Linked DNA regions of Astyanax mexicanus. The protein of the gene in region 3 purifies or fractionates together with the protein of the main gene of each other region. This does not show direct contact. Links are inferred from orthologs where the notes say so. Each region holds a gene or a part of one and is shown on either strand. Other genes may lie near its edges.

Evidence for each region.
Region 1: the proteins of bbs12 (region 3) and mkks purify together in Homo sapiens (co-immunoprecipitation; 4 studies listed by BioGRID and IntAct, counting the BioPlex papers as one, with this or other methods). This does not show direct contact. The link is inferred for Astyanax mexicanus from reciprocal best matches to the Homo sapiens genes BBS12 and MKKS.
Region 2: the proteins of bbs12 (region 3) and bbs7 purify together in Homo sapiens (co-immunoprecipitation; 3 studies listed by BioGRID and IntAct, counting the BioPlex papers as one, with this or other methods). This does not show direct contact. The link is inferred for Astyanax mexicanus from reciprocal best matches to the Homo sapiens genes BBS12 and BBS7.

What each region holds. Positions count from the first base shown.
Region 1 is NC_064432.1:14,241,528-14,252,102, forward strand, and holds the start of mkks (McKusick-Kaufman/Bardet-Biedl syndromes putative chaperonin), read left to right. Parts: upstream 1-5,599; 5' UTR 5,600-6,237; intron 6,238-6,877; 5' UTR 6,878-6,879; coding exon 6,880-7,915; intron 7,916-10,088; coding exon 10,089-10,270; intron 10,271-10,575. Other genes in the region: protein SLX4IP, read right to left, coding at 3,474-3,500. UniProt on the Homo sapiens protein: Probable molecular chaperone that assists the folding of proteins upon ATP hydrolysis. Plays a role in the assembly of BBSome, a complex involved in ciliogenesis regulating transports vesicles to the cilia.
Region 2 is NC_064417.1:25,282,189-25,292,087, reverse strand, and holds the start of bbs7 (Bardet-Biedl syndrome 7 protein), read left to right. Parts: upstream 1-5,201; 5' UTR 5,202-5,712; coding exon 5,713-5,748; intron 5,749-5,891; exon of another isoform or gene 5,892-5,893; coding exon 5,894-5,959; intron 5,960-7,161; coding exon 7,162-7,224; intron 7,225-7,337; coding exon 7,338-7,513; intron 7,514-7,617; coding exon 7,618-7,804; intron 7,805-8,403; coding exon 8,404-8,476; intron 8,477-8,584; coding exon 8,585-8,701; intron 8,702-8,943; coding exon 8,944-9,074; intron 9,075-9,171; coding exon 9,172-9,256; intron 9,257-9,879; coding exon 9,880-9,899. Other genes in the region: small integral membrane protein 43-like, read right to left, coding at 1,656-1,889.
Region 3 is NC_064409.1:65,591,724-65,601,632, reverse strand, and holds bbs12 (Bardet-Biedl syndrome 12 protein), read right to left. Parts: upstream 4,106-9,909; 5' UTR 3,963-4,105; intron 2,860-3,962; coding exon 895-2,859; 3' UTR 698-894; downstream 1-697. Other genes in the region: uncharacterized protein cetn4, read left to right, coding at 5,490-5,651, 6,013-6,141, 6,806-6,943, 7,791-7,880. UniProt on the Homo sapiens protein: Component of the chaperonin-containing T-complex (TRiC), a molecular chaperone complex that assists the folding of proteins upon ATP hydrolysis.

The DNA.
Region 1 (10,575 bases), on a different chromosome or scaffold from region 3:
ACGCCCCACTTTTCAGTTATTTATTTTTAAAAAAAGTTAAAAAATATCCAACAAATTTCGTTCCACTTCACGACTGTGTCCCACTTGTTGTTGATTCTTCACAAAAAAAGTAATTAAAATTTTGTATCTTTATGTTTGAATACTTTTGCAAGGCAGTGTAAAATGTGTGATAGATGGGAATGTGCTGGTGTAAGAAGGGAACTAGATAAAGGTTTAATTAGAGGAAATCTCAGCAGCGTGGTGATGGTACTGCTGGTTTAATGAGAGGGTGATTTGACGCTATTGTTCGGAGGTTCAGGGTACTGTGTGTTTCTGTGGTTGGGTGTCGGGCATGAGCGATTCTTTCCCAGGGAAGAGAAACACAACAGTATCATTATGCTCAGACTGGGAGGACGCGAATGCACTGAACTCGTGTGGTTCTCCCACAATGAAAAAGAGAGAGAGAGAGTGGGAGCGCGAGAGCGAGATACGATGGAATGCATGTGTAAGAGTGTGTATGACAGAGAGCCAGAAAGAGAGGGCGAGAGAGAAAATCAAGAGAGAGTTCCTGTAGAAACTGAGAGAGAGTGTGATTACAGATCAGCAGTGGGGCTGTGATACACAGGCATGGCTGAAATTGTTGGCATCTATTACATTTTTTTCACTGTTGGCGGAAACAACTGTAATCAATCTTTACTGATAATTAATAACGAGTCTCTGTGGAGGAATTTAGTTCCACTCTTCTTTACAGAATTATTTTAATTCAGACACATTGGAGGATTTTCCAGCATAAACATCCTGTCTTTAGACTTTAACTAGACCCTACAAACCCTTCATTTAGTTTATTCATCCATTCAGAGACAGTGAACTTGTTGTTTGTGTGTTTTGGGTCATTGTCCTGCTGCAGAACCCAAGTAGTGCTGAGCTTGAGATCATAAACTTGTAATGTTGTGTATCCAGAACAATTGGCCAAAATGTGTGGTACAGAAACATTTGGAAATACAGCTGTGTAGACTATTTCAAGAAGCTTATTAAAAACCTCTGTTTACATCCTATAATGCTAGCTTCAGGTCAGAGCACCACCATTACTGTACTGTACTGTATAATAACATACAGCACAGTAATGGCGGAGCTCAGAGCTTGTTTACTTTTTAAGTTATTAATGCCTCGTTTTTAAATGTCAGGACTCTCTGGATTCTAGCAAGGAGGTGTGGAGCTACTTTGAGCTGGATAACGGTGTAAAAAGCGATTTATCAGGGTAAATTATGCCCCGTATCACCCAGTCTGAAGAGTGTTTGGATAAACTGTTAAAATTACTAGATTTCAGAACACTGTGGGAGAATGGAGGTGTGCTATTCATCAAAGGTAAGAACTTTTTATCATGTTTTACTACAACAAAAGTCCATTTTACACCGGAGTTCTCCTTTAAGAAGAACAATAGTGTGTGTGTGTGTGTGTGTGTGTGATCTGAACTAATGGCCGGAGTTTTGTGAGCAATCCTGTAAGAAATGAAACACCACAAAAGAAAGAGATCCAGGGGTTTCCCAAAACTCCACACAAACATCTGATCTGCATTAGCCTGACGTCCATCCAGCCAAACAGCGCAGACAGACGGACAGACTGCCCAGGAAGATGAGAGCCTGGACAACAACACCCCTGATTACCTAAAGCCGAGTCTGAGACACGACCAAGCCAGAGATTTAAAACTTACAATAAAACACTAAACTCGCCTCCATTACTGCGGTAACGGCTGCAATTACACGTACTATACCCAGAGGACGTTTCATTTATCAGATACACATCATCATCATCATCATCGTCATCATCATCATCATACTACAAAACCTTCCTCTATAAGCCTATAGATTAAAGCTGAGCAGCTCTGAGAACTGTGGGCCAATCTGTAAAGCAATCCTGACCTCTAGTGGTGAAAACACAAAGCGCATCTTTAAAAAAAATTAATAAGAGAGCACCTAAAAGTGATGAGTTTCTTTGATTTTAGCAAATTGAAAACCTCTGGAATATGATCAAGAGAAAGATGGATAATCACAAGCCATCAAACCAAACTGAACTGCTTGATTTTTTTGCACCAGGAGTAAAGCAGCATAAAGTTATCCAAAAGCAGTGTGTAAGACTGGTGGAGGAGAACATGCTAAGATGCATGAAAACTGTGATTAAAAACCATGGTTATTCCACCAAATATTGATTTCTAAACTCTTAAAGCTTTATGAATATGAACTTGTTTTCTTTGCATTATTTGAGGTCTGAAAGCTCTGCATCTTTTTTATTATTTCAGCCATTTCTCATTTTCTGCTCTAAATGACAATATGTTTATTTGGAATTTGGGAGAAATGTTGTCTGTAGTTTATAGAATAAAACAACAATGTTCATTTTACTCAAACATAAACCTATAAATAGCAAAATCAGAGAAACTCTTCATTTTTTTCCAAAGATATATATATATATATATATATATATATATATATATATATATATATATATATATATATATATATATATATATATATACTAATTTGTTAATAGAACTGACCATGAAAACCTGAGAACTTAAAGCCTGAGCAATAATAGCTTAGAAAAGATATTTGGCAAGAAATAGTATGTGAACTCCTTGGAATTTCATTCCAGTTTTCTGCATAAGTGTGTGCTTAAAATATTAACACAAAAATGATGTTCTTGCAGGTCTCAAGTGTACATTTCTCTTCAGGTTAATTCATAGGATCCGAGACAGATCTGGGCTCTGACTTGTTTTTATCAAGCCATTGTCTTGTGCACTTGCTCTGGTGTTTTTGTTTTTGGGTCATTGTCCTGTTGCATGACCCAAATTCTACAGAGCATTTTAGCCAGTACCAATGATTTGATACATTTTTACATAGTTTGCTTTACTGTAGACTAGTGAATTTTCCTTTTTAAACACTTTTTAACCCCTTCCAGCTTCATGTAAATAAACAATTTTTGATCATTGATCCTCTGAAAGCTCTTTTTGGTTATTTATGGCTCACATATGCAAATCCTTCTTGTGCAAAGTGTTTTTTTATCAGTCAAATTAGTTCTAAACCACACCTCCAAACTAGCAAAACTTCAGGTATGCTAACACTTAAAACTAATGAGCTATTTCGAGGCCATTAACACAAGGGTGCACTATGAGTTTTTTTTAGGGTTGTTCTCAATAAAGACAATAAATAATCATATTTTTTGTGATTTTTTTAGGCACATTATATTTGTCAAAACCCTTGGCTTGGGTGAGGACCGGATTACATTTTATGACAGAATTATTCGAGAAAACATGAAATTCCACTGTGTTCTGGCACAAAATGTTTTGTTTGGTTGATTTTTTTTATTTATTATTTATTACATTTCAAACTCTTTATTCTTACACTTAAGGCAGAAAACTCACCGCTGTGTGGGTCATATTAAATACATTATATACATTTCCATAAATATAATCTGTAGTATAGCTGTAAATCTGCACCTACCTTTATCACAAACTTGGAGAGCTGCATTTCAAATTACCAGCAGCACCTGCAACAAAAGTATTATTAAAATATCTGTATTTCATGATTCAATTAACATTAAATAAACATCAGCTGATAAATCTATCTGGTGTAGTGAGGTCAGTCCTATCTATCTATCTATCTATCGATCTATCTATCTATTTGTATAGGCACATACAATAAACTGTACTGTTTAAGAAAGAAAGAAAGAAAGAAAGAAAGAAAGAAAGAAAGAAAGAAAAGAAAAAATAGCCATTTGCTGTGCTAAAGCTTTTTTGTTTCATGATTATAATTGTTTCTTAAAACCTCAAAACATTTTTAAACATTTTTTTTTCAGTTTATTGTAAATATTTGGCTACAATGTATTATTTATTATTTAGCTACTTTATTGAATGGATATATGTTTTTTATTCTTTAAAGCTTCAAGTTAATACAAAGAAATCACAATAGAAAACAGCATGAAAATATAGGGAGAATAGGAAAACAAAGAAAGATTAACAAGAGGTCAGTGAGAGCTCATCACAGGTTCTTACAGTTTTTTTTTTTTGTTTTTTTTTACATTTCCTATTGTTAGCAATTCTGAATGATTTCAAAAGTGAGGTAAAATCTAGTATAAAATATAACAAATTTTGGTATTAAGGTCGAGTATTTACATCACTGAATTTAGTGTTTACTTAATAAAATAACAATATTAATAATATACTCTATATCTAGGTTATTGTGTGGAAAATGTTGGTTTTCTTCAAAAAGAAAGAGGCAAAGTCTCACCAGAATTTAGAAACGATAGAACATTCAAGAAAAAAGATGTGATACTGATTCATAATCCGAATGACAAAAGGAGCATTTAATACTGTATGTATATTTTTTAATTATGCAATTTTCTCATTCGTAGGATCTATGTTGAAAATGTTATTTTCAAATGCACTTCCCTTGCTTTATTGAGGACACAAAATAACATGCTTTTTTCCTATTTATATCTGGGATCATGGTATTCAAAAAAAAATCCCTCTAGGTGTAACATTTTTTTAAATGAAACACATTCCTTATTGATTTATTATTATTATTTATTATTATTCTTCTTATTTTAGGCCGAAAATACAAACACTGCCTACTAAAAACTGACGTTCCTCTTTCCTGACCTTTTCATATGAAATCTGACCTTTCATAAGGTGAATAAGACAATTTGGGATCGCTTTTATGACAGAGTTGAATTCCTTATAAACAACAGGGAAACAGTATTTACTCATAAAATTACAGTCGGTATAAAGGTTCCCCTCCTCATTAAATAAATCAAGCAGATAGTCTATTGCTTTACTGTGCAAGTTCTCAAGATAAAGTGATTTACATCTTATCAGCATTAATTCATTATTACATAACTTTGTTTTCTGAGGGGAGAAATTGTGTACAAACCAAAGCTTCCATGCTGTCTGTCCGTCTGTCTAGTATGATGAGGTCAGTCCTATCTGTCTGTCTGTCTGTATAGTATGATGAGGTCAGTCCTATCTGTCTGTTTGTATAGTATGATGAGGTCAGTTCTATCTGTCTGTCTGTCTGTCTGTCTGTCTGTCTGTCCGTCTGTCTAGTATGATGAGGTCAGTCCTATCTGTCTGTCTGTCTGTCTGTATAGTATGATGAGGTCAGTCCTGTCTGTCTGTCTGTCTGTCTGTCTAGTATGAGGAGGTCAGTCCTATATATCTGTCTGTCTGTCTAGTATGATGAGGTCAGTCCTATCTATCTGTCTAGTATGATGAGGTCTGTCTCCCTGTCTGGTGTAGTAAGGTCAGTTCTATTAATTTGTCTGTCTGTCTGTCTGTGTATTTGAGAGTGTGTATTTCAGGTGTATATGGTATAAAGGTCGGGTTTACCGGGTGTAAAATGTAAATAAGGAGGTGAAGTTGAGCAGCTCGCGACGCGCAGATTCACATCAAAGCAAACAGGCAGCTTCCCGCGCTTCTCAAAGCGTCACGTGACCTTCAGGACCCCGACGCTGCCAGCGTTCCTATAGAAATCGCGGGTGGCTGTAGATCTGCCTGCGCGGACTTTGGAGGAGAGATATAGAAAAATATATTATAAATATATATATTTTAGATAAGATATATATTTAATTTATTTCAGTTAATGTGTTTTATGTTGTTTGGTCTGATAAATCTGTTATATTAGCGATCGAGAGGCGTTGGGCAGTTACCTGGGAAACAGACGCTAAGTTTATTACCAGTAGTGTTGCCAGATTTTTTTTTTTTTGCGAGTTTTGTTCTTTTTGCTAATTTGTATATAATATATGATATCTGTATGCCTTTATTGAAAACGTTTTTTTTGCTATTTAAACTCTTCATGTCCAGGTGGACGGAGTCTGTTAAATTGTAGGTGTTATATGGTAGTGCATATAAGCACATACAATAAACTGTACTGTTTTATAAAGCAGTGGAAATAAATAATAGGCATTTGCTGTACCAAACAAATTCGTTTTTTTGCTTTTTTGTTTTAAAGCCTCGAAACCGTTATTAAACCAATGTTTAGGTTAGTTGCAAATGCTCTGTTACTTCTAGGCAATTTATTATTTAAATTTCAGAGATTTATTATGGTGAATATTCGGGATTAAATGAGAATGGTTTGTCTGGAGCTTTTTAGAGCTATCTGGCAACCCTGAGTTGCCAGCAGCCTGAGCTAGCGTTAGCATGCTGAGTGTAAACTCAGCGACTCTGCCAACTGACAGACAGACAGACAGACAGGTAGACAGCTGTTGCGGGTAAGAGCTGGTTTATTACTGTGGGTTACTGTAGGATTTATTCCTCAGTCTAACAGTCTGTGGTAACTGTAGCTAAATAAACTCGCTAAGCTAACCGCTATCTAAGCTAACTATCTACTGTCTGTATGATTTACCAGCTAAGCTAAGCTAAGCTAACTGAACATCTAACCTATATATCCCATATTTTACCATAGCTTAGCTTAGTTTACCTTACTAACTGCTTAACTACTGCCTGTCTTTCTTTTTCCATCTCTTTGTTTCTCCATCTCTCTCTTTTTCTCTCCATCTCTCTCCCTGTCTCACTCTCCTTCTCTTTCTGCCTCTGTCTGTCTCTGTCTTTCTCCTTCTCTCTCCTCTCTGTGTTTGTCTCTCTGTCTGTCTGTCTGTCTTGCTCTTCTCTCTTTGCCTCTGTTTGTTCCTCTGTCTCTCTCTCTCCATCTGTCTGTCTGTCTGTCTCACTCTCATTCTCTTTCTGCTTCTGTGTTTGTCTCTCTGTTTGTTTCTTTATCACTTGTTTCAATTACAAAGAAACAAATTCAACAGTAATTACAAATTTAGTGATAACATTAGAGAATTAGAAATATTAATAATTTAAAACTGTAAAACTGTCTCTCTCTCTGTATGTGTCTCTCTCTCTCAGTAATGAGTCGTGTGTGTAAGAAAGCGGCGTCTCGCTGCACGGACGATCCCCTGGCTGTACCTGAGCTCTGGCAGAAGTTCGCCGTACTGCGGCTGATGCTCTCCTCCTGCTATGGTCCACGCGGCAGGTTCAAACAAATTCACAACAATGTGGGAGGACACGTTCTGACCACCTCTACCTCCTCAGTGTTACTCAGAGCGCTGACCTTCTCAGAGGATCTTCTGAAACTCGTAGCCGGGGCGGTTATTAACCACGCGGCACGGCTCGGAGACTGCGGACTGTTCACGGGAATCGTCTGCATTAACCTGGTTCAAAATGCCAGGGGGATGAACCTCAGCGCTGCTCTGGCAACCCGGGTGTACAGGCACCTGTTAGCAGAGTGCAGGAGGTACCTCAGGTCGGAGAGCTGCGGCTGCAGGGTGGAGGTGGACTTCAGCAACGTCCAGACGCTCATAACTTTAGCCAGAACTGTGATCTCCAGCAAGAGGGTCTGCATGCTGACGCCTGAAGAGCTTCAGCACATCAGCTCTGTAACAGTGCAGGCTTTCCTCCTGTCTGTCCCGTCAGCTCCATCAGACTCATCACACTCATCAGCTCCATCAGGTCCATCAGAATCATCAGAATCACCAGGCAGAAGATGCTTTGGTAGGACAGTGACCATACCGTTGGAAGGTCTGCCGGTGGGCGACTCGGCGGTTTTCCCCGGCTTGTTGCTGGACCTGCCGGTCCTACAGTCTGGAGATCTCCAGAGGTTGGGTCCCGCTCCCTATAAGATCGCCCTGTTCAACATGTCGCTGTCCGGAGATCTCTCAGACATGGAAGATGCAGCGCTGGAGATCCACGCAGGACTAAACCCAGACCAGGTTCTGCTGGACCAGCTGCTGAAGCTTGGAGAGCAGGTGGTCAGGGATGGTGTGGTTCTGTTCGTATGTCAGAGAGTGATCCACCCGGTGCTGCAGCAGTACCTGAGGGAACGTGGGCTTCTGGTGATCGAGAGGCTTGGAGCTGCTCTCGTGGAGCCGCTGGCTCAGATGACGGGTATGAACATGATAATGTTTCCAGTAGGGCTGCAACATTTAGTCGATATAATCGACAATGACAATTATTTAAATTTGTCGACTACAAATTTCATTGTCGACTAATCGTTCATTTCTAACAGTACTGCGTTACACAAAGTGCTGGAGACAGAAGAAACTTGGTCTGTGTCTCCAAAAGTGCCCAAACACAACAGATTACATATGTATTCACTAAATATCAGTACTCTCCACATTTAAACAATATGTGGACATTTAAATATCTTTTAAATCTCATGTTTAGCTGTTTTTCTGTTGTTGTTAGAGGTGGAGGACATGGCAGATATAATCGCTGACTAATTGACTAATCGAAAAAATGATCATCAGATCCAAATATAAACCAATAATAATCATCAGATCCAAATATAAATCAAAATAATCATTAGTTGCAGCCCTAGTTTCCGTACATATTACTTTAAAAACATAGTAAAACATAAAAAACCTGCACTATGGACCCATATATGATGAGTTCCCCAGTTTCTGACACTTACTGTCAGTGTGTAGTCATTCTCCCCGGGATACATTAGGTAAACTTGTAGCTCATACAGCTCTGGAAAAAGTTTTCTGAAAGTTCTCTGATTTTGCTATTTATAGGTATAGAAAATGAACATTTTATTCTATAAACTACGGACAACATTTCTCCTAAATTCCAAATAAAAATATTGTCATTTAGAACATTTATTTGCAGAAAATGAGAAATGTTCTTATAAGTTCAGAAATCAATATTTGGTGGAATAACCCTGTTTTTTTAATCACAGTTTTCATGCATCTTGGCATCAGGTACTCCTCCAGTCTAAAAAGTTTTCAATTTGGTAAAATCAAAGAAATTCTTATTTTCTTTTTTCCAGTGCTGTTTATTATGATGAAGTGTCTGGTCTCTGTGTTGTCGGCTGTAAGAACAAGCAGCATTTTCTGAGCTGCTGATTTTGTGTTGGCTGTGTGCTTTACTGTTCACTCTATAGCACTTAAATGAAATCAAAAAGAAGACTAAATACAAATCTGATTAATTAAAAAAGAATTAATGAAATTAACATACAATTGAGGCTTAGTAACTATAAATAAACAACTATTTAGGTAAATAAAATGTATACATGCTTTTAATGTATCAGGATAAAAGTTTTTAACATGCAGTATATTATTGTGTATAATTATTGTGATTTATTAGGAAACACATTTGTTGTCATTTTAAGCACTTAACTGTAAATATTTATCTATATCCCCACCGTGGGATTAATGAAGGATTGTCCTCTCTTAATTGATCAGATAATAGCTTATCATAAAATAATGCAACTCCACTCATTTGAAAAGTGGTTAAGTTTCTAAAAATGTTTAAATATTCTACATAGGTTAATAAATCAAATAAACCCTATTTTTAAATAAAGTCGACTTACAGTCAAGTTAATTGTGGCTAATATATATATATATATATATATATATATATATATACTTTATTTAATTTGAACTATTTTTTATCTTATTTGGACTTTACTTAACGTAGATCAAAATATTGGCAAAAAATTCTAAATGTCTAAATTCTGAAAATATTTGCATCTGGGCTGGTATGTTTTATTATTACAAAGCAATATATTTCAGCTATTAATGTAAAACGTAAAAACGTGTTAAGAGTGTAGTACAAAAACGCATCTGTGTAGTCTGCAACAGGTGTTACTCTCGCTCTTCCTTTTCTGGGGTGGTCCTGATGAGTGCCAGTTTCATCATTACAGTGTTTCTGATGGTTTTTGAAATTCTTCTTTTCAGATTGACTGAACTTCATTTTCTTCTTTATTTACTTGAGTAGTTCCTGCTTCTCATAATCTGGATTAGAACATTAGTCAAATATTCACTATTCACTGTATAGCTGTAACTCTACCTCTTCACAACTTTACTTTAACTGATGCTCTCAAACACATTAAGAGACAAGAAATTCAAGTAATTAACTCTTGATGAGTTCAGCACAGCTGTTAACTGAAAGCCTGAATTCCAGGTGATTCTACCTCATAAAACTGAATGAGAATAATCTACAATACAGAACGTTTTAAAATACTGAAAAAACACTGAATTCAAGGTGTGTTCAAACTTTTGACTGGTACTGTACTCTGTATTTGTATTTAAAAACACTGTTATGTGTTTTTTTTTAGGAACCACAATGATCTCGTCTATCTACTCTCCGATCCCGGCCCAAGCGTACGGCCTGGTTGGAGGACTCCGCCTCCATCACAGAGCATCTAAAGAGCTTCTCCAGCTCCTTCCTTCTGGAGATCCAGCCCTGAGCACCGTGCTGCTCTGCCACAGGAACCAGACCATGCTGGAGGAGCTGAAGGTCAGCTGATGCCTGAGGCCACTTCAATATACAGCTCTGGAAAAATGAAGAGAGCACTTCAGTTTCTGAATCAGTTTCTCTGATTTAGCTATTTATAGGTTCATGCTTAAGTTAAATGAACATTGTTGTTTTATTCTATAAACTACGGACAACATTTCTCCCAAATTCCAAAAACAAATATTGTCATTTATTCACAGAAAATGAGAAATGGCTAATTTTTAATTACAGTTTTCATGCATCTTTGCATCATGTTCTCCTCCACCAGTCTTACACACTGCTTTTGGATAATTTTATGCTGCTTTACT
Region 2 (9,899 bases), on a different chromosome or scaffold from region 3:
GCTTACATGTGGGATTATGTGTAAACAGACATGCTCACATGTGGACAACATTTTAGTCACGTGGAAAAAAAGTGTAGTCACATCTGGCAAACAGTGTGGTCACGCTGGGGGGGGAAATGTGATTAGGTGTGAAAAACAGTGTGGTCACATGAGAGAAAATATAATCACATGTGGAATAAAATATTTGATAATATGGAAAACAGTGTGGTAAAAAAAACATGCTTTTATGTGAAAAAAGTGAGAAAAACATAACCCAGTGAGTTTTTAACTGTTTTGTATGTTTGTTTATTTTAACATCAATTATCTTTGTGCATGTTCTTTTAGAAAATTGCTGTTTATTTGTCTAACAGTAGCTCTGTTCAATAATGGCAAATAATTTAGTTAAAATAAAATCTTTGTTCTTCTTCTTAGCTGGTAGGAGATTTGATATATGTGTTGCAGCCGGTAAAATGAAGATAGTAAAACTTAGGACATATAATTCAGCAGCCATATATATTTACCAATGCGCATTAAACATATTGTAATCAGAAACAATACTGTGTCCCGAGTAATGTTCCAAATATTAGGGAAAAAATGGCAATATAAAGTCGAATTTATGATATAAAATCAGTTTATGAAGAGCCTACCCACATTCTTCTCCGTTTTATCAGAAAATTACTGTGAAACAATAGAGGGAGCCCACAAGTGAGTCCAAAATGAATAGGGGTGAATAGGGGAATTAAAATGAGCAATATCCACCTGGCCAGAAATTTTCTTTAATTTTGAAAAGCAAAATAATATAAATAAATAATAAAATAATGTTGCAAAAAAGCAAAGAAAATGTACCTATACTTGTCCATTTGTCTAGAGCAAACGGGTTTCAGACAACAGACGTGCTAGAATAACTGCTGCTAGTGAGCTGGGCTCGGTAGCTAACCTAATTTGGTTGACTAGCTATAGCAACTTGCTAGCTTAAGTAACTCAAATGATAGTCTAATGTTGGCCAACTACTATAAAATCACTACACAGATAACCTAACTGTGGCTACATAACATAATATTGGACACAAACTAAACATTTTCAGTAAGACAATAGAAACAATTAGCTTAGCTAACAGCAGATTATAGAGTATGATAAAGTTAGCTAGCTAGACCTGTCAGCCACACAGAAAAAAACAGCTCAGAAAAATACAGTTTATAGTCTAGTTTTACTTAAAGTAAAGCTTATAATTCACTCAATAATAAACAATTTGTATGGAATAATTGTATAGAAATCTTCATACTAATTTCTTCCAGATAAAAATAGGTTAGCTATCTGACAGCTGATGTTAATTAACGTTACTCCAGACAGCTCTTCTTCAGGTTTTCTTATTCACTGAACATTAACAGCCACTCAATCCAGCAGTTGGGTCCAGAAAAAGCCCAAGAAGAAATTGTGTTCTATTTAGGAACATAAACATGCAGTTTTTCATCTGAATTATCCTCAAAAGCTGGGAATGCTGGCTGGCTAGATTTCAGTGGTCAGTCTTGGACACTTCCAGAACTTCATGTTTCAGTCACAGGATAATAATCCACTCTGGTTGTCCAACATAGTTTAACAATATAAGATGTTTGTAAAGGCTTTTTTTGGCGAAAAATTACATCCAATGCATGATTTTCCATACTTGTCTCTCTTTCTCAGAAATTGTGACCCCTGAAGGACCCAAAGTGTGGCCCTCTGAAGGACCGGCTGGGGTGGAGGGCGCTGTTTCCTACAGAGTTCCTCAGCTGCTTCAGCAACATCCACAGTAGGAGCCCCATCAGCAGCAGCAGGAGCATGAGGATCCCCAGATACACGCTCACGTTCCAGCCCCATTCCATCGCAAGAGGCATAGAGGTGGAAGCCACCAGGAACTTCTTAGGAGCAGGCATCAGTTAGCATGGATTGAATGCAACCGCCCTGGTTCTTCAGGGGGGTCCCACCCCAGGGAGATGTTTAGGTTTGAGGCGTAGCATCCTTGGTTTTCGCATGTAGAAGCAGACCATCTTCTTTGTCCTCACATCTCCTTGAGGTCTGGTAGTGTCCTCTGCTGCTGGCAGAATGAGGCAGCTTTTCCAAACCCCTGCGTCTCTGTGTCTGAGTGTTGACCCCTCCCCTGGTGCTGAAGGACATTCATTGCCCTGACTTATGCGCTGGGGAAAGTGCACACACTCACACACAAACACACACACACACACGCATGCATATGCTCATTCTCAAACAGACTCAACAGAGGGAGAAGATAATATCTATGAAAACAGCTGTCTAGTGTTGTATCAGACCATCACACTGTGTCTGTTCAAGTGTCCTCATATTGCATGAGATTTATTCAATAAGAGAACTGACAAAATGTTCTCGGCATCATCAAGACCAGATGAAGGCTGTTACGGCAAGAGCATTTTGTCCATATTTTTTGTAACCTGCTTGATGATGAAGGCTTTGTGCACGCTGTTGCATGAATTTGCTTATAATTAGGATAAATAAGCCTATGAAAAAAAATCATGAAACCCGTTAATCAGAAGCTTACATTGCTTCTAATAAAATATGCATGTTCTCTAATGCACATCATCATTCATAATATGATCATAATATTTCTTTATAATATTTATTAATATAGACTTACTCTTACGCAGATTAAAAATATACACAAAGATATGTAAAAGAAAGAACATGACAACATTAGATATCTTTATCAATACCAAATCTCAAAACTTAAAACTTAAATAAGCAAGACAATGCAGTTAATTCAGAACATAATAAGCATGATAGGGTATTGCAAGCAAACACACCCACATATAGACCTATGTATGCAGTTTAAGCCTTATAAAAAATGACATTCACAGATAAGACAACTAGGTAAGACAACTAGATTAGATAACTTTATAAATCCAAGAGCAAAATCCACAAATTGCAGTAGTCTAATATACAGATATGGCAAAGAGATCAGTAAATCAAATATATTGATTTGACTACACAATGTGTACACAAGTATAGAACTTTATAAAGAATATAATAAATAAATAAATAAAAACTACAAAAACAGAAAATTTATTCATTTTATGCAAAGTGCAAGTTAGGGTGGCAAGGTTAATTGAATGAATTATTATTTTCAAAATGGGGTCATTTATTTCAGTAATTCAGTTAAAAATGTGAAACTCATATTATATAGATGTATTGTACCCACAGTGATCTAATTTAAGCATTTTTTTTATTGTTTATGATTATGTCTTACAGCCAATGAAAACCCAAAAATCAGTGTCTAAGAAATGTTGAATATTATATAAGACCAATTGGTCCTTTTGGCAGTGTGGGCAGTGTACCAAGTCTCGCTGGAAAATGAAATCCATATCTCTATAAAAGTTGTCAGCAGAGGGAAGCATGAGCTCTGTAATAAAATAGCATAGCGAACACTTCCTATGCAGCTATACGGAAGAACAATAACATTTGTAGATTCTTAAACCATGTGTTCAGTTTAGTAAATTATTCTCTTATTTGCCTTTTTGAAACATTACCCCAATCTGACCCTGCTTCTTTTGGAGTAACTGCATCTGCTGTAAGGAATTGATTGCAACAAGAGCATTAGTGAGGTCAGGGTGTTGGATGATCACCATCCCACCTTATCCCCAACTTCCTAATTTATCACATTGCATAACATTCTTTAAGGTTGAAGAGGGAAAAAAACATTAAAGCAACCTTTATTTAACATTGCCTAATAGCCAATAGTTAATGTTAAAATTCTGATGTTGAATCATTGTTCATTCCAGTTTTTGAATGGTTGGGGCTCTGAATTCACACTTACAATGATTTTAGGTGTACAGTGCTTCCCACAAGTAATAGTATTGAGTGTATTAAATCAGATGTCTCTAAAAATAATTTCCCACTGAATGGGTGCCATTTGCTTGTTGTAACTCTTCCAAATTAAACTTATTTTTTTTCAACTCTGAATCTAATAACACCTGTATGTAACTATTCAATACATGTACTGGTCAATCTTAGGCAGCTTTACAAGGTTTCTAAGCTGAAGATGGTTACAAAACTCATTTGACATTTAAAAAGCATGTTTAAAAGCAAGTCCACTAATTCTTTGATTGATTTTCTCTCAAGAAAGCGTTTATTTTAAAGAAATGGTTGACTGTATGTTCAAATAGTTGATATTAATGACAAAAAAATTACACCTGTTACTGGAACTCAGTCCTGTTTCTGGCACACATTCCTGTTACTTTTATTTGTTTTAAGTAACAGGAATTAAAGTAACAAGACTGTTTTTAGCATAGAATTAGCAAAAACATGAAAAATAGCTAAATAGCAGCAATGCCAATAGCATGAGGACACTGAGCACATTCTAGTGATTTTCCCACAATAAGATCTAAGAATTAATTTAGGTAACAGGACAGAGTGTTGAGATTGACCTCCTCAGTCATAGTTACAATAAGATCAAATATACAAAAAAAAAAAACTAATGGGGGAACTTAATTTTGGTCTTCTCATGATCTTCAGAAGAACCATCTGATGTAACTTTCTGTTGTAGATGTGTAGCGTTACAGATGTTTCAGATGTTTTACGGTAACAGGAATGAATGAAACCCAGGGACACATCTAAAATGTTTTTAGTTCTTTTATCTTAAGTATTATGGACTTACAACAATGCAAAAAATTACATCTCTGAAAAATTGTAATCATTATTTTTCATGGTAAAGTTTATAGTTAGAGAGTGGGGACAGGTAACAAATGCTATTTTTTCAGTTTTCTAGGTCACTGGCTGAACTACAGTGTTGTTAGCCAATCAGAGTGGATATGTTTGCATGTATGAATATTGCGCAAATATATTCATGTACAAGACAATATGCTTCATAATAAAATGTATTTGAACGTTATTTTGTGTGCACATGTAACATGTAATTTCCTGGGGACAAAAAAGGAACACATTTGGTGGAATGGCTCAGGGGTCTGTACAGTTCAAAAGCACAAATAACAAAAAAAATCTGTTCTTGTGAGAATAAAAGTTTGATCAAAATATTTATTTTGATTAATTCTGATAAATTACTTATTGTTTTAATAATAAAAAAATAAAAGTCATAGAATGAAAAAAAATTAAATTATTGATATTGAATTATTTTTAGAGACCAAAAAAAACTTTTCCAGATTAATATGTATTTCTGCAATATTATTTCCTTTTTTTTTGCCTAATTTGTTTGTCTCCATGGAAACCTGGGATGCGTCAGAGACCAAACATGGCGGCGCTGAGAGGGCAGCTTGCTTAGCTTTGCTGGATGTTTATTAATCTATTCGCTAAGCTTTTTTGCTCTTCTAGAAAATGATATATAATACGGGCTAATGTCGGGTTTTTACCTCCTTCCAGAGGACTAACGAGCCGCGTTAACTCTCACACGAAGGAAAAATCTGTTTCTGCGGGTAGCATGTAAGCTAACTAGGCTTGTTATTTAGGTTAGCTTTAGTTAGCCTTCCAGCTAGAACCTGCGGGAGGAGCGAGGACAGTCAGCAGCACTTAATCCAGGAGTTAATCCGCTCACTGAGACACTGCATTTCTTTCAGACTACGTTTAAACCTCCGAGAAACTAGAGGAAACGACAGATACCTGAACTATCCGGCAGCACACAGCAGAAACACCCAGCTCTGAAGCTAATCGACTAATCAGTAACTGAGATTCCGTGATCTACAGCCAGCTACACCCACATCTGTGATCAAAACAGAGAAGATGGAACTTAGTTTAAACCACGTTGATTATCTTCAGGTAAGAAGCTACTTTTGAGACTCCAAACTATCCAATGCTATGTGATAAGTACTGAAAATTTAAACAGTAGTTATCATTAGTAAACTGTTCACCATGTTATTGGCACGAATAAGCAGGAGTTATTTTTTCTTATTTGTCTTTCAAGGTCGGAGTAACATCCCAGAAAACCATGAAACTGTTACCAGCAGTGGGACGAAAAGCGACACAAAAGGTAAGTTGACTTTTTTTATCTTTCAAATCTTGATCTGTATTACTGTTATGTTTTGGTAATGAATTGAAAGAATGTAGTTACAGAATTCATCAAACAATTGCTATCAAACCATTAATATAAAATTCTTGCACAAGTGCACATACAAAATGATGAAGCATGGCAGCCAAAACAATGAAAAAAATGGTAAAAAAAAAAGCAAATATAATGAACAATGTAATAAAACACATCATCAAAATCTAAAGTAGTTCTAAAACATTGTTATAATATTTTAGGTCCATATTCGCCCACCTCTAATCTAAAACACATTTTTTGAATTATAAAATGTGCATGGTATAACATTTTAATGGTCTCACTCCTTGTTTTTTTTTTCATTCTTTTTAAATTGTCTCTTGATCTCTACTATGAATGAATGCCATGTGAGCCGTTTTTTATGAAAGAAGTGCTCTGGTGATCCAATAAAACTGTGCTTTAATGTGATATCTAGTATGAATGAATGCCATGCGAGCCATTTTTTTTACGAAAGAAGTGCTCTGGTGATCCGATAAAACTGTCCTCTGGAGTCCTCTGGAGGAGTGGGGGGAATTTCGGCTCTTGCTCATGAAAACATACAAAAATCTACTCTGATTGGCTAACAACACTGCAGTTCAGCCACTAACCTAGTTTTAAAGTCTCTGTAAAATGCGAAATCCACCGGAGATCCTATGTAAACCTATGATTACATATGATTAGTCTTAGACTTAGTCTTAGCTGTAAAAAAGTGGGTGGATTTGCCCCAGGCATCCTTCTCTAAGCCAGGGAGTGTAATTAACTTTTACTCTACAGCAGTAAATACAAATCACACTACATGGAGCAGCTCTACATTTGGATTTTTTAACAAGCTGACATATACAAAAGCAGCATCTGTGAATGAGAAAGAAGCATGTGGGCTGAGCCCATAGAGTAATATTATTTATTTTATTTTTACACAAATATGGTTTGTGTTTGGTAGCATTTGTATTATGCAGCTCCACCAAAGTTACATTATAGCACAGTAACAACATTTCAGAGTGGCAATGTCATAGGCACCATTCTCCCTATTACACTCAGTGGAACATCAATACGATTCTGAAGCTGCTAATGTAAGATAAAATTGTTACATAATCTTGCTTTAACTGGATGTTTTTATTAAGTGTTATGTTTTTTTTGTGATTTCTTCCATTTAGGTTGCTGTTGCAGACCACGATGGTGTAGTGAACTGTTTCGGGATGAAAAAGGGAGAGGCTGTGGTGCGTGTTTTAATTATTTTAACATTATTGACTTTATGATGGTTCAAATACTTTATTCACCTATTGGAGATTATATAATTACTGCTAAAGCAAAAAAACTCTATTTTATCCAGCCTGTTTTCAAAAGTCTCCCAGGGCAGAAGATCTCCAGACTAGAACTGGGAGGAGCTTTAGGAACCCCTCAGGAGAAAATCTTTGTATGTTCTGGCTCTGAGGTCAGGGGCTTCACCAAAAAGGGAAAACAGTTCCTTTCTTTTGAGGCCAATCTGACTGAGAGCATTAACGCCATGTGAGTCATTATTTTTTCATTATATGCTCATTATATGCTTCATTATATGCTGGTTACAATGGATGTACGTGACCTGAACGTTAATATTTATACATTGTTGGCAGGCATGTTTCTGGAGCAGATCTTTTTGTCTGTGCCAGCTACATCTACAATCACTACTGTGACTGCAAAGACCAGGACTATTACCTGTCAGGAGACAAGATCAATGACATAGTTTGTTTACCTGTGGAAACAGTGGGCCGTACAGTGCCTGTTCTGGCCTGTCAGGACAGAGTTCTTCGTGTTTTACAGGTGATTGTACTGAATTTAACTCTTATCTGCCCAGCAGTTTAAATATCACCATTCAAAGCTAATAGAAGCCTCTTAGTATCAGGTGAATGAGACAATGCTAACTGGAAGTAGCAGTCCCTAAGATTTTGTCTTTTAAATTGAAAGTAGTAGTATTTGTCATAAGTGGGGGAATAAGGGGGAAAATATTCTAATGAATGATATCAGTGTTCCGGCACAACAATTTAAAAACAGAGTGGTCTGGTAGGTTAGTTGGACGTGATTAATCTGCCCATTTTGACAGAATTCTATAAATGAACAAGAACAAAACAATATACTCAAAAAATTGAATTTTACATAGCAATTTGTTTACATTAACCTGCATTAAAAGTACTGTACCACATGCTCTGTGCAATTACACATTCTCACCAGAGAGGCCTCCAAATCCTCAAAATTTACAGACTGTCACTTTAAACAAAATCCAGTTGAGCTTATCTATAAAAATGAGTCATCCACAATCTTTCCATGTGTTTCCTTTCTTCTACTCAAACATTCTTATTCACTCATAACATTTTAGTAAACATCTGATCCTATAGTACAGTATGAATTCTTGTTTCCTGAAGGGCTCTGAGCTGTTATATGATGTTGAGGTTCCTGGACCTCCATCTGTTCTGGAGCTTCACAACAGAGATGGAGGTGAGCCGTGAAACCTAGGTCTGATGCAGAACAGTACAAAATAGTAATTGAAATATGTAGATATGAGTGTGTGTATGATTGTTGACACAACGTATGTTTTATGTGTAGGTAAGAATGGGGAGGAGGTGCTGTATGGAACCACTGATGGGAAACTGGGTCTGATCCAGTTAACCAGTTCTGCTCCTGTCTCTAAATGGGAGGTGGACAATGAGAAGAAAAAAGGAGGTAGGGGCAAATCTTATAGACAGCTTTGTGGAAATTTAAAACAGTTTTGTAGGTGAGTTTACGGATGGGTGATATTGTAAAAATATAATGAAAATATCATATGTTTTTTGAGTGCACAAGTGATATTTAAAGACCTTTTCATAATATGCAATATTTATTGCAATATTTTTGGATGTAGACAAAATACACTAACTTAAAAATTTCTAACTAAATTTAACTTTTTATTTCATTATCTTCTTAAGGGGTGCTGTGCATCGATACCTTTGACATTCTGGGTGATGGTGTGAAAGATATTCTGGTGGGCAGAGATGATGGGACAGTCGAGGTCTATGGATTGGACAGCTCCAACGAACCCACGCTACGCTTTGAGAATGTATGTGTGACACTGACAGGTTAACACTCTCTGCTGATTTCAAAATAGCTGATCAGTGTTGTTTGATCACTAATCTGCATTATTCTGTGATCAAAAGGTTTTGTCAGAAAGTGTCACATCAATCCAGGGGGGGTGCGTAGGAAAGGAGTCATATGAGGAAGTTCTAACTACCACCTACACAGGTCAGAGACTGAAGACTAAGTTAAAATACTCCTTACATTCTACCATCCATGTTGCTTCTATCTGCTGTTAGCAGATTCCATATTAAAAGTAGTGCCATATAGAACCATATTAAAAAATGTATAAGGACACCTACACATTATACCTACAGGAGGTTTTACCACATTCTGTTCTTTTACCATAGTCATTAGCGTGCAGTCGGTCCCCCTTTGCAGCTCTAACAGCAAGTGTGGAGCTCTGCAGTCATTGATCAGCTATTCTCATCAGCACACCCCTTCTGTAACTTTACATGATCAGACATTTTGTGGCTGAGTTTCTGTGGTTCCTAAATGCTTTCACTGTTTAATAATAACCACTCACAGCTTATTGTGGAATATCTTGTAGGGAATAAATTTCACCAGCTGACCTCCTATTGCACACAGTGCAACACACGTTCTCTATCTAAGGTCTGTAAAGTCCCAAGACTGCATTACTTGGAACTTGATTTCGTACACCTATGGAAATGAGACTTTGTGAAACACACAGTTTCAATGATTAGAGGTGTGACCAAAACCTTATGTCTTTATAGTGTATTTTAACCCTATTTTAAATATCTTACTCCCTTGTCTGGTTGTGATGTCACTAGGTTGGGTGTCAGGCCTCACT
Region 3 (9,909 bases):
CTGCAGTTAGTGTAACAAGACTTTGGTATATGTGATTTTAGAGCATGTCTTGGTCCATTAATAACAACATTAAAACACATTGGAGAGAATATATCAAATTTACATCATATTAAAAGTAAATTACAGCAAACTGGAGCCTTTGGAAATTCTGTGTTGACTGCAGAGGTCATGAGAGTGTTTATGTGGTTTTGTTTTGAAACAGTGCTTGGCTGTTTATGTTTGGTTTCGGCCATAGAAGAGAGGAAGTTTTTGCATTACTGAAACAAAGTGAAAAGAACAGAATGAAAATGAGGTTTCTTCTATTCTGCCCTACAGTCATGAGTATAATTTCCAGATCAATCTTACAGAAATCTCCCAAATAATTGCTTTACACAAGAGTAAGGAAATGTAAATGAATGTAGAACTTTCTGGTGGTCAATGTAAAAAAAACAGTAGTTTTGAATTATGTCAAAAGGAAGAAGATTGATGTTTTTTTGTTCTTGTTGTAGTGGGACAGCATGCGTATATATATATATATATATATATATATATATATGTGTTGGAGGGAGTAAGCCATTAAAAAGATTTTAGCTTGTTGTGTTGCTGTTTGAATGTGTGACAAAACAAAATACCATTATCAGATGCAGTTTTTATGTTACTGAAAGTTGGTTCTCACTAGAAAGCCCTGCCAAGGGGTTAACACTTGACAATTAGATGTGTGTAATGTTAGTGGTGAAGTTTTTTTCTTGCCCAACGTACAGTATTCCAGATGCCAACAGTATACAAGATTGAAACTTTATTTAGTGTTTAAATACAAGTACAAGTAAATAAATAAACAAACAAAATATATATGTATATTTAAATAACAAAATGTGACACAGCACATAGGGTTAACATTTTACCAGTTCAGAGAGATTACAGAAACATGACATCTCTAAACTGACTATCACTCTCATTTATTCCTGTAATAATCTCAGTATCTGTCTGTAGAATCAAAAACACCAGATCTAGAGCTCCTCTCCAGGCCTCAAACTTCACGGTCATATTATCATACACTTCATCTCTCTCCACTGTCCCCTCGCCTCTATCCTGGTCTCCCTTTCCTTGTATTGCATTTGTTGAGTTACTATACGTTTTAAGAGGACTTTTCAGCCAACCTGGAAGGCTCTTGCTCTCAAACTCCTTCAGGTGTTGGGCTATGTGTGTCCATGCGTGTGCTTTGGCTGTAACCTGACCAGCATTGAACATGAGAGTGGATATATAGTCCATCCAGCCCTCTGCCATCAGCTGCAGAATCACTGGTTCATAGGGTGCTACATCTTTCTGTCTGTCTTTACTGTTCTGGGATACATCCTTATGTCTGTACAGCTGGCGAATGCACAGCAGTTCAGTCATTCCAGCGCCAGGCAGCAGCTTTCCGTCATTGAGTGCATGATGCAGACGATAGGTGCAGCTCCAGAACTGATCTTCCAGGCTCTGGAGCTTAGCATGAACTGAGCTAGTAATGATCACCGTGACCAGAGTAGTTGCACTAGCTACAATGTTCAAAAGGGTTGACGATTCTGTCTTCAGTGTATTTTGATAGTCTCTCAGCACGCTAACCTGGACCCCAGATCCCACACAGCGCTCGCTAAGCTGTGTGACATAAGAAACAGAAACAGCTCCAGTAGTTGTAGCGAAGTTGTTCAAAATTGTGACCTTCACATGCTCAATTACCAGGATGTTGTGACTGAGGCAGTGGCTTTTAAGCTGTGAAGTGACCATTCCATTCACAAGGAGAATGTCTATGCTGAGGTTGAGGAGTATTCTCAATGCACGGTCCATCCATTCCTGCTCTACACTGACTCCTGTGGAGATGCACGAATCATGAATGTATGTGACATTTTTAGGCCTGTTGAAACCGACATGGCGGTATGACTCAGTGAGGTCGCCATTTATAAGGCCGATTTTTAACGCCCGCTCTTCGAAATGCTTGACTAGAGACACCTGCTCTACACTACATGACTTCACAACATACCCATGGAGTACACAGGAATGTTCCTCAGACAGCCCTGGCAATGGGCATGTCACTAATCTATCAACATCTAGAAAGTTGTGACTGCTGTGACCTTGTGGGACATATGTAGACTGAATCCTGCTAGCCTCCATCACTAACCTCATGGAAGCCTCACATCCATGGCTCACAGCTTCAGCTAGCGGAGTTAAGTCTAATGTTTTTGAACATTTTTGGTGTAAATTTGGTGATGTAAAGTCCACAGAGTGTGTTTCCTCAGCCCCTGCACTACTTGAATTGAAGTGCCTGCTGTGCTTGAGCTTTATTCTGTGCTTTAGAGGACGCTTCTCTTGGTTAAGAACTCCATTTATGGATTTAACACCACCATCCTGAGTTGATTTCTTCACTCCTGTATCTATAAAAAGTCCTGTAAATAAGCCATTCGTTTGCTTCTGTACAGCACTCTTACAGATCCCCTCCTCCACAGTCACCGCATTACGCTTGCAGACCTCCACACACAAGTCCAAGCCCTTTGACATGCCAGCTATGATGTGCGGAATGGAGATGCCCTTGTGAAGACACTCCAGGGCCACTCTGCTCCAGACCCCTGCGAGGAAGACCACAGTCCCAGTGCCCGAGTGCAGTGTCCCTTGGTGGGCCCGAACAGTCTCGTGCAGCAGCTGCCCAACAGAGCTGCTAAGCTCCAGCTGCTCCAGTAGACGGTAACAGGAGCAGACTAGTGCAGACTCCCCAGTCGCCTCATCTTGGATGAATTTATAGCGTTTGTTAGGACCCAAAAAAGAATGGGTGGAAGCAGCCACAGCTTCCAGCTGCTGGAGACCAATATGTCGACCCTGGTTTACTGCTCCACTTCCTAGAGCTGACATCTGTGTATTAGAGAGACATAAAGGAGTACATTAGGTGTAATCAATTTTCAGTAATTTTTCCAAATTTTGTTTTTTCATCTCTGCCCCTCACAATCGGAATTTATGGAAAAAATCTAAATTATTATTATTTTTTAATTATTTTCTTATTTTTTCATTTTTGCATTTTGCAAGTTGGATAATAACATCAAGATAAAAAAATGGACAAATCTGTAAAATCAAGAGAAGATTCAACTTTAAATTTTTCTTGAAATTCTGTTTGCGAAAGGCTAAAATGAAAACCTAGATAAAACCTACATTTGGATAAAAAAAAAATTCTTTACTAACCTGAATTGAAAAAAAAAGATTAAGCTCAATACCCATTTTTTTATTTTTAAATGGAGCTTGATACGGTTAGAAAATTAAACTGCTAAACGTTACACTGATTCTGTGGGGTCCTGGTCATTAAAAAAAGTGTGAAAAACTGAGACAGTGGTTTATAAATTATATTATAAATAATATAAATTATTATAAATTTATATAAATTATTAAAAAATGCAATATTACAGTAGCATTGTCATTTAGTGCGTTTATTTCTTTTTTTATTAACTCATTTTCTACGTCGTATATTAATATAAAAATACATCAAAATAGTTATATAATTATTAGAATTATGTAGCAAACAAAAAATAAAAAACAAAACCCAACTGGAGCACACGAGGAAAAGTAGCAGCTATTGTTTAGAAAATACCAAGAGTGTGCAGATCTGTCCTCAAAGCTAAATGTTGTAACTATTTCTAGAGTAAATTATACTCTTATACTTTAAAACTTTTTTGTTTACAGAATAATTCAACACGTGTTTCTTTATGTCTTCAACATTTACTTACGATATAAAAGAACCATGAAATAAATAAAACACATTGAATCAAATGTATTAAATAGAAACCCGCTTTAGTTCGCTATATATATTCTTTTTCTACATTGATATTAGCTGAATTAGCTAGCTAGCGCTAGGTGACTTAACCAGTTAGCCAGCTAACGTTAGCTCTTTTAGCTATACTAGCTATCCCTAAATCCAGCTGAATCCTGTGAAAAATAAAAACAAAGAGCATAAAAACCGAACAAACCTTTTATCAACATCGCTGAGGCGAGAATTCGAGACATACAGTTTATATACGGATTAACAGAGCTCTAGAAATACCGCTCTGTTAACTCCGGACCCAGCTTTACTTATTACACACAGAGCCACCGCGCACATGCGCACTGGGGGTCAGCCCCCAAATCCACGCTTGTTGCTAAGAGACTTGCCAAACGAGCACGCAGTTGCCGATCAAGCGCTGAAGGCCCGCCCATACTACATTTTGATTGGTCTGCTGGCAGTGCGCTCTGTTATAGTGGGCTTGAGCTAGATTCTTATTGGGGTGCTTTGCTGTCAATCATTTGGTGGTCACGCCTATCAGAAAGTTGAGTTGCGGCGGAGTAGTATTTTCGCTGGTTTTACACTGAAAAGTAGCATTTATTGTTGGATACGCCACGTTCAGTATGGTAAGACGGTCGATAAGTTGCTCATTTACTCAAAAACACAAGGTATTATATGTAAGTTAGCTAGTTCTGACTAAATTAGCTAGTAACTTACAAACAGTGAACACCTGACAGATGTTGTTGTTAGCAAGCTAGCTAACTAGCCTAGTGAAGCTAACGCTGGTCTCCTATGGTAACAGTAACGTTAACTAACGCAAGCTCACAGCTACTTAGCTAGGTTAACTCAAGAACCTAGCTCCTTTGTTAATTAAGCTAGGTTATCTAACCTATATTCTAAAGGTGGCAGCTAAGTAGCTAGCTAATAAGTTAACCATTTTAAATTCAGCGTCTGCTACAATGGACATCACGTATTTCCTTTTTAATGTTGTGTTGTTACATAATACTAATTGAGACTCATTGTTGTCCATCAGAATAGAGCAAGAACCAGCCAATTAAAAAGTTTACAAGCCACAGAAACAGTAGTAGTTACTGTGTAGAAATGGTTTGTGACATAAAAAAGGAAATATCGAATATAAAATAAACATGTTAAACAAAGGCCTCCATTACAATGGACAAAACAATTAAATATTTAGTTAATTGGATTTAACTGGACTTTATATTAGAGATTTCAATTAGATTCTTCTTTTGTGTGCATTGCAAAACATTTTTTTTATATTTTTCTTTTACTGGAATATAACTGGGTTGGTGCTGTTTTTAGCCAGCATTTTTATTACTCTCTGAATGCATGACAAGCAATCACGTAGTAAAATGAAAAAGTGTTAAACATATCAATATTCTGTGAAGCATTTCGGTGGTTCTTATTTAGGGGGCTTTTGGCTGATAACTCTGATGACCTTAGCCTGTGCAACAGAGATAGTTTTTCATCTTCCTTTACTGGGGCAGTCCTAATGAGAGCCAGTTTCATCATAAAGTTTTTGATTGTCTGTGTGACTGCACTTGAGAATTAAAAGTGCACATACTATTTAAAGGGTTCACATACTTGTTCTTGCCACTGTATTTGTAAGTCTGCTTGCCATGTGACATCTTCATTTTTTGTATGTGCAATTTAATGTTTAGTGAACTATACAGTTGTAGGAGAAATTACAGCCAGTGGCTTCACCTCCCTATGTTTCATGCAGGCATCCAGCTTCAGAAAACCCAGTGCAACGGCAAACCAGCGGAAGAAAGGGGGTCCCAAAGTGGATCTAACAGAGGAACAAAAGCAGGAGATTCGAGAAGCATTCGATCTGTTTGACACTGATGGTTCAGGCACAATTGATGTTAAGGAGCTTAAGGTAAGGGCATGCAAATTGATGTCACCAACACTTTGCTCTCCTACCTATCCATTGATGCTGCAAAGGCGGCAGTTTTAAAAGAGGCCGTTGGTGCCTTAACATATATCAGAGGAGACATAGCCTGATCTTTACCCTCCTAGTGTTAGGGGCATAACTAGTGATGAAGGGAGTGATTGGCCCTCTAAATTGGGGAGAAAACGAGAAACAATATGTATTTAGTTAATTCACTTGTTTTTTTTTCTGTGTGAAAACAAACCAAGGGGTTTACAAACTTGATAATTGATTTACAGCAAATCAACTATAAGTGTAAAACACCCCAGATCAGGTAATTAGATCTGTGTCTTTTTGTTATCTCATTCAGGTTGCTATGCGTGCTCTTGGTTTTGAGCCAAAAAAGGAGGAGATAAAAAAGATGATTGCTGACATTGACAAAGAAGGCTCAGGCACCATCAACTTCAATGACTTTCTCTCCATGATGACCCAGAAAATGGTAAATTGTCTAAATAAGCAAACATGTGAAATGTCTAAAAAAATGTATGTAAAGTGAGTAGAACATAAACTGCCCTTCAAAAGGCATGAATCAATAATTCTTGTAAAAAAATGTAATCAGGATTACAGTATTATTTGTTATGTACTCTTTGATTTACAGTGAGAAAGGGAAAGGAGCTGTTGCAGTCATCATTAAAAAATTGATGTAATGCAAACTCTAAAGCTTTACATATTGTCTCAACAATCAGCAGCCATGTACTTCTCTCCAGAATTTGAAGAAATCAAATTCAAACTCAAACTGTAAAGCACAGAGTCGAACTGATCATGCTTTGGATTTGCAGTTTTTGTCACAGATAATATTTCACCTTTGCATTTTTTTGAAACGGTAAGAAAGGAAGTAAAAATTAGTCTTTTTAAATATTAATGAAAACTGTCTTCTTTAACTTTTTTCCTTTTAGAGGAAAGGTCATCCTTTACTCACTGAGCTTTTCACAACAGCTCTTTTAGTTAGCTGTGCCCAAACATTTGCATGAAACTTTATATATCAGAAAGGTATTCTGTGAAGTAAATTAGTATACTGTGCAAATACTGCATGTACAGCAAATCCAGATTATGTTCTTTAATCTTTCTGCATATTGTGCTTTATTGCTTACTGACCAATACAGAGTGAAAAAGATTCAAAAGAAGAAATCCTAAAAGCATTCCGATTGTTTGACGATGATGGGACAGGCAAAATTTCATTCAAAAATCTTAAACGAGTCGCCAAAGAGCTTGGAGAGAATCTAACGGATGAGGAATTACAGGTGAGTTTGGTAAATAAGCATTAATACACAAGAGGGCTTGCTATAACCTGTACACCTACACGTACCTCACGTTACAGCACCAATCTCAAGTGTTTTATTGAGATTATACCTCAGTTCTGTTATGTACGTTAACTCTTCAAAGCAGATAAAGATAATCAGACTCCCAGACTTCCCAATCATCAGAATGACAAGAAATAGCCAAAACATAAGGTGATGGAACAGATTATTTTAATCAGCGCACACACTCCTAAAGCTGTTAAAAAGGAAAACTTTCAGTATTCATCCACTCTATCTCTACCTATTCCACCTTATATAGTGCAGCAGGTGCTCCCTTTGATTGGCTGATCTATGGGTCTTAAAAAACACACAGTGTACAATACTTGTACCTATCTAACAACAGTATTGCTCTTTTTTTAAATGTTAACTGTATTAATGTTGGGTATGCCCACCATATGAATAACAGTGTAACAATTATAATGTGGCAGGGTAATACCCAAAGAGCTTTAATTAAAATACTACTATAATATTATATCTTGGCCAATTGTATTGCGGGTAGACTAAATGTGGTATAATAATAAATGTCCCTTTGTATTTCTGGAGTAATGTTGTTTATGCAAGCAGTGATGCCCTCAGTATTGTGTGAAAACAAAGGTCTGTGTCATCATGTTCCACTAGACAGGATGAACTGGGGCTTGGTGTGCCTACAGTGACTCAGTACAGACTAAATCCTGTCTGATTTGATCTTTTTGATCAAGAACCTTGGTGGCATCAGGGAAATTTTTTCTTTGTTGTTTGTATTCCGTCATATTGTTTCACATTATTCTAACACTCATTTCCTCTTTGTCAGGAAATGATAGATGAGGCGGACAGAGATGGAGACGGAGAAATCAATGAACAGGAGTTCTTACGGATAATGAAGAAGACGAACCTGTACTAAATTTGGTTGTTTTCTTTCTCATTTTCTGACTCTCTTTTCTTACTTGCTATCATTTGGTCAGACAGTTGTTTGACACCATAATTTTTGTCTTTTTGCAGCAAATGTAAAACACTTTTTCTTTCTTTTGTAAGATTTGTAAACCCAAAAAATATTTAATATACACACATTTTGTACTTTATTGAAAAAAATAATAAAATGTGTATTTGACTATATTGTATTGTGTATTAATTAAAGATGCATTTGACATTCAGGCAGATTAAACTGAGCTCTTTGCTTTTCTTGAAGAGAAGAGAGGAGTTTCTCAGCTTTAATATCTGTTTCGCTGTAGGGGGCAACCTTGTATTTGCTTGGCCATGTTTCAAATGATAACCCATGTAATTGTGAAGCTGCAGATGTAGATAAAAACCTGCAAGAAAGAGAAAAGCTAGAAATACACAATATACACCTGACTGGTATGTGACCCTGTGTTCAGCATCGGGTAAACATAAACAAGTGTTCTTTTAATCTTTTTTTTTCTATTTGGGCATAGATTCTCTGCTTTTTAAATTACAAGCGTGTAACTAGCAATTTATAAAAAGAATCAAGACCCTTCATGAAGACACAGACTCCTGGAATTTACATCATACAACATGTGCATTGGGATCATTTATGTGGCCTGTATGCATGAACATGATGGTTCTGAACACAGCCATACAGTGACTGGAGTTCACAGAAAACACAAAAACAGCCTGTGGTTCTCTAAGCAACCCATAAATGACTATTACAAACACTTGCTTTTATTATTGTGTTTATTAAATAGTTTATATACTGCGGATATTCATAATAGGAATAGTTTTTACACAGTCCTGTGTATTCAAGATTTGATGTTAAACTCTATTTTTTCCTCTATCCAAGATTTCAAAACAGAATTTTTAATTATAAATCTTAAATAATAAACTAACTTTAACATATAGGCATTTGATGTTAAGGTTTTGTGTTTCCTAAATATTTTAAAGGGACTGTTAAGAGAACATTTAGGTTCGCAACAATTTCTCTTAAGACCCTTAAGGCATTTTTTTCTGCAACACACTAACATATTTAATTGGCTATGACAACCATGCTAGCAACATGCATGTTTTAAGCAGATGGCACAGAGTAGTAGAAACTATGTGCTTTAAACAGATCTTTATTCGTACCCTAATGATTTGTTTTTCAGACAATGAATTGGTCTCTGTAGATCCTGAGATGACGTCTTATTATGTTGAAGACTTTTTTAGGCATATTGTGGTTTTCTTTAGGCTCCATTTCATATGAATTCTGCCATCACCTCTTCTGCCTCCAGCTCTGATGCATCTACCACCAGATGCCTGTTACTGGCCAGCATCACAATGGAAGTGATTATTTGAATCTAATTGCACCGTAAAGCAGCAAGTCAGGCTAAAAGATCCATATGAGTGTATAAGATATATACAGCTCTGAAAAAAATTAAGAGACCAGTTAAGAGAATCAGTTTCTCTGATTTTGCCATTTATAGGTATATGTTTGAGTAAAATGAACATTGTTGTTTTATTCTATAAACCCTGGACAACATTTCTTCCAAATTCCCAAAAAATATATATTGTCATTTAGAGCATTTTTTTTGTTGCAGAAAATGATAAATGGCTGAAATAACAAAAAACATGCAGAGCTTTCAGACCTCAAATAATGCAAAGAAAACATTGAGTTTAAGACAGAGTTTAAGAGTTCAGAAATCAATATTTGGTGGAATAACCCTGGTTTAAAATCACAGCATGCATCTTGGCATGTTCTCCTCCACCAGTCTTTCACACTGCTTTTTGATAACTTAAAAAAATTCAAGCAGTTCAGTTTGGTTTGATGGCTTGTGATCATCCATCTTCCTCTTGATTATATTCCAGAGGTTTTCAAATGTGTTAAATCGAGGAAAAACATCATCATTATTAAGTGGTCTCCTCATTTTTTTCCAGAGCTGTATATACTAGTACATCTTACTTACTTACTTACTTTATTTCAGTAATTCCATTTAAAATGT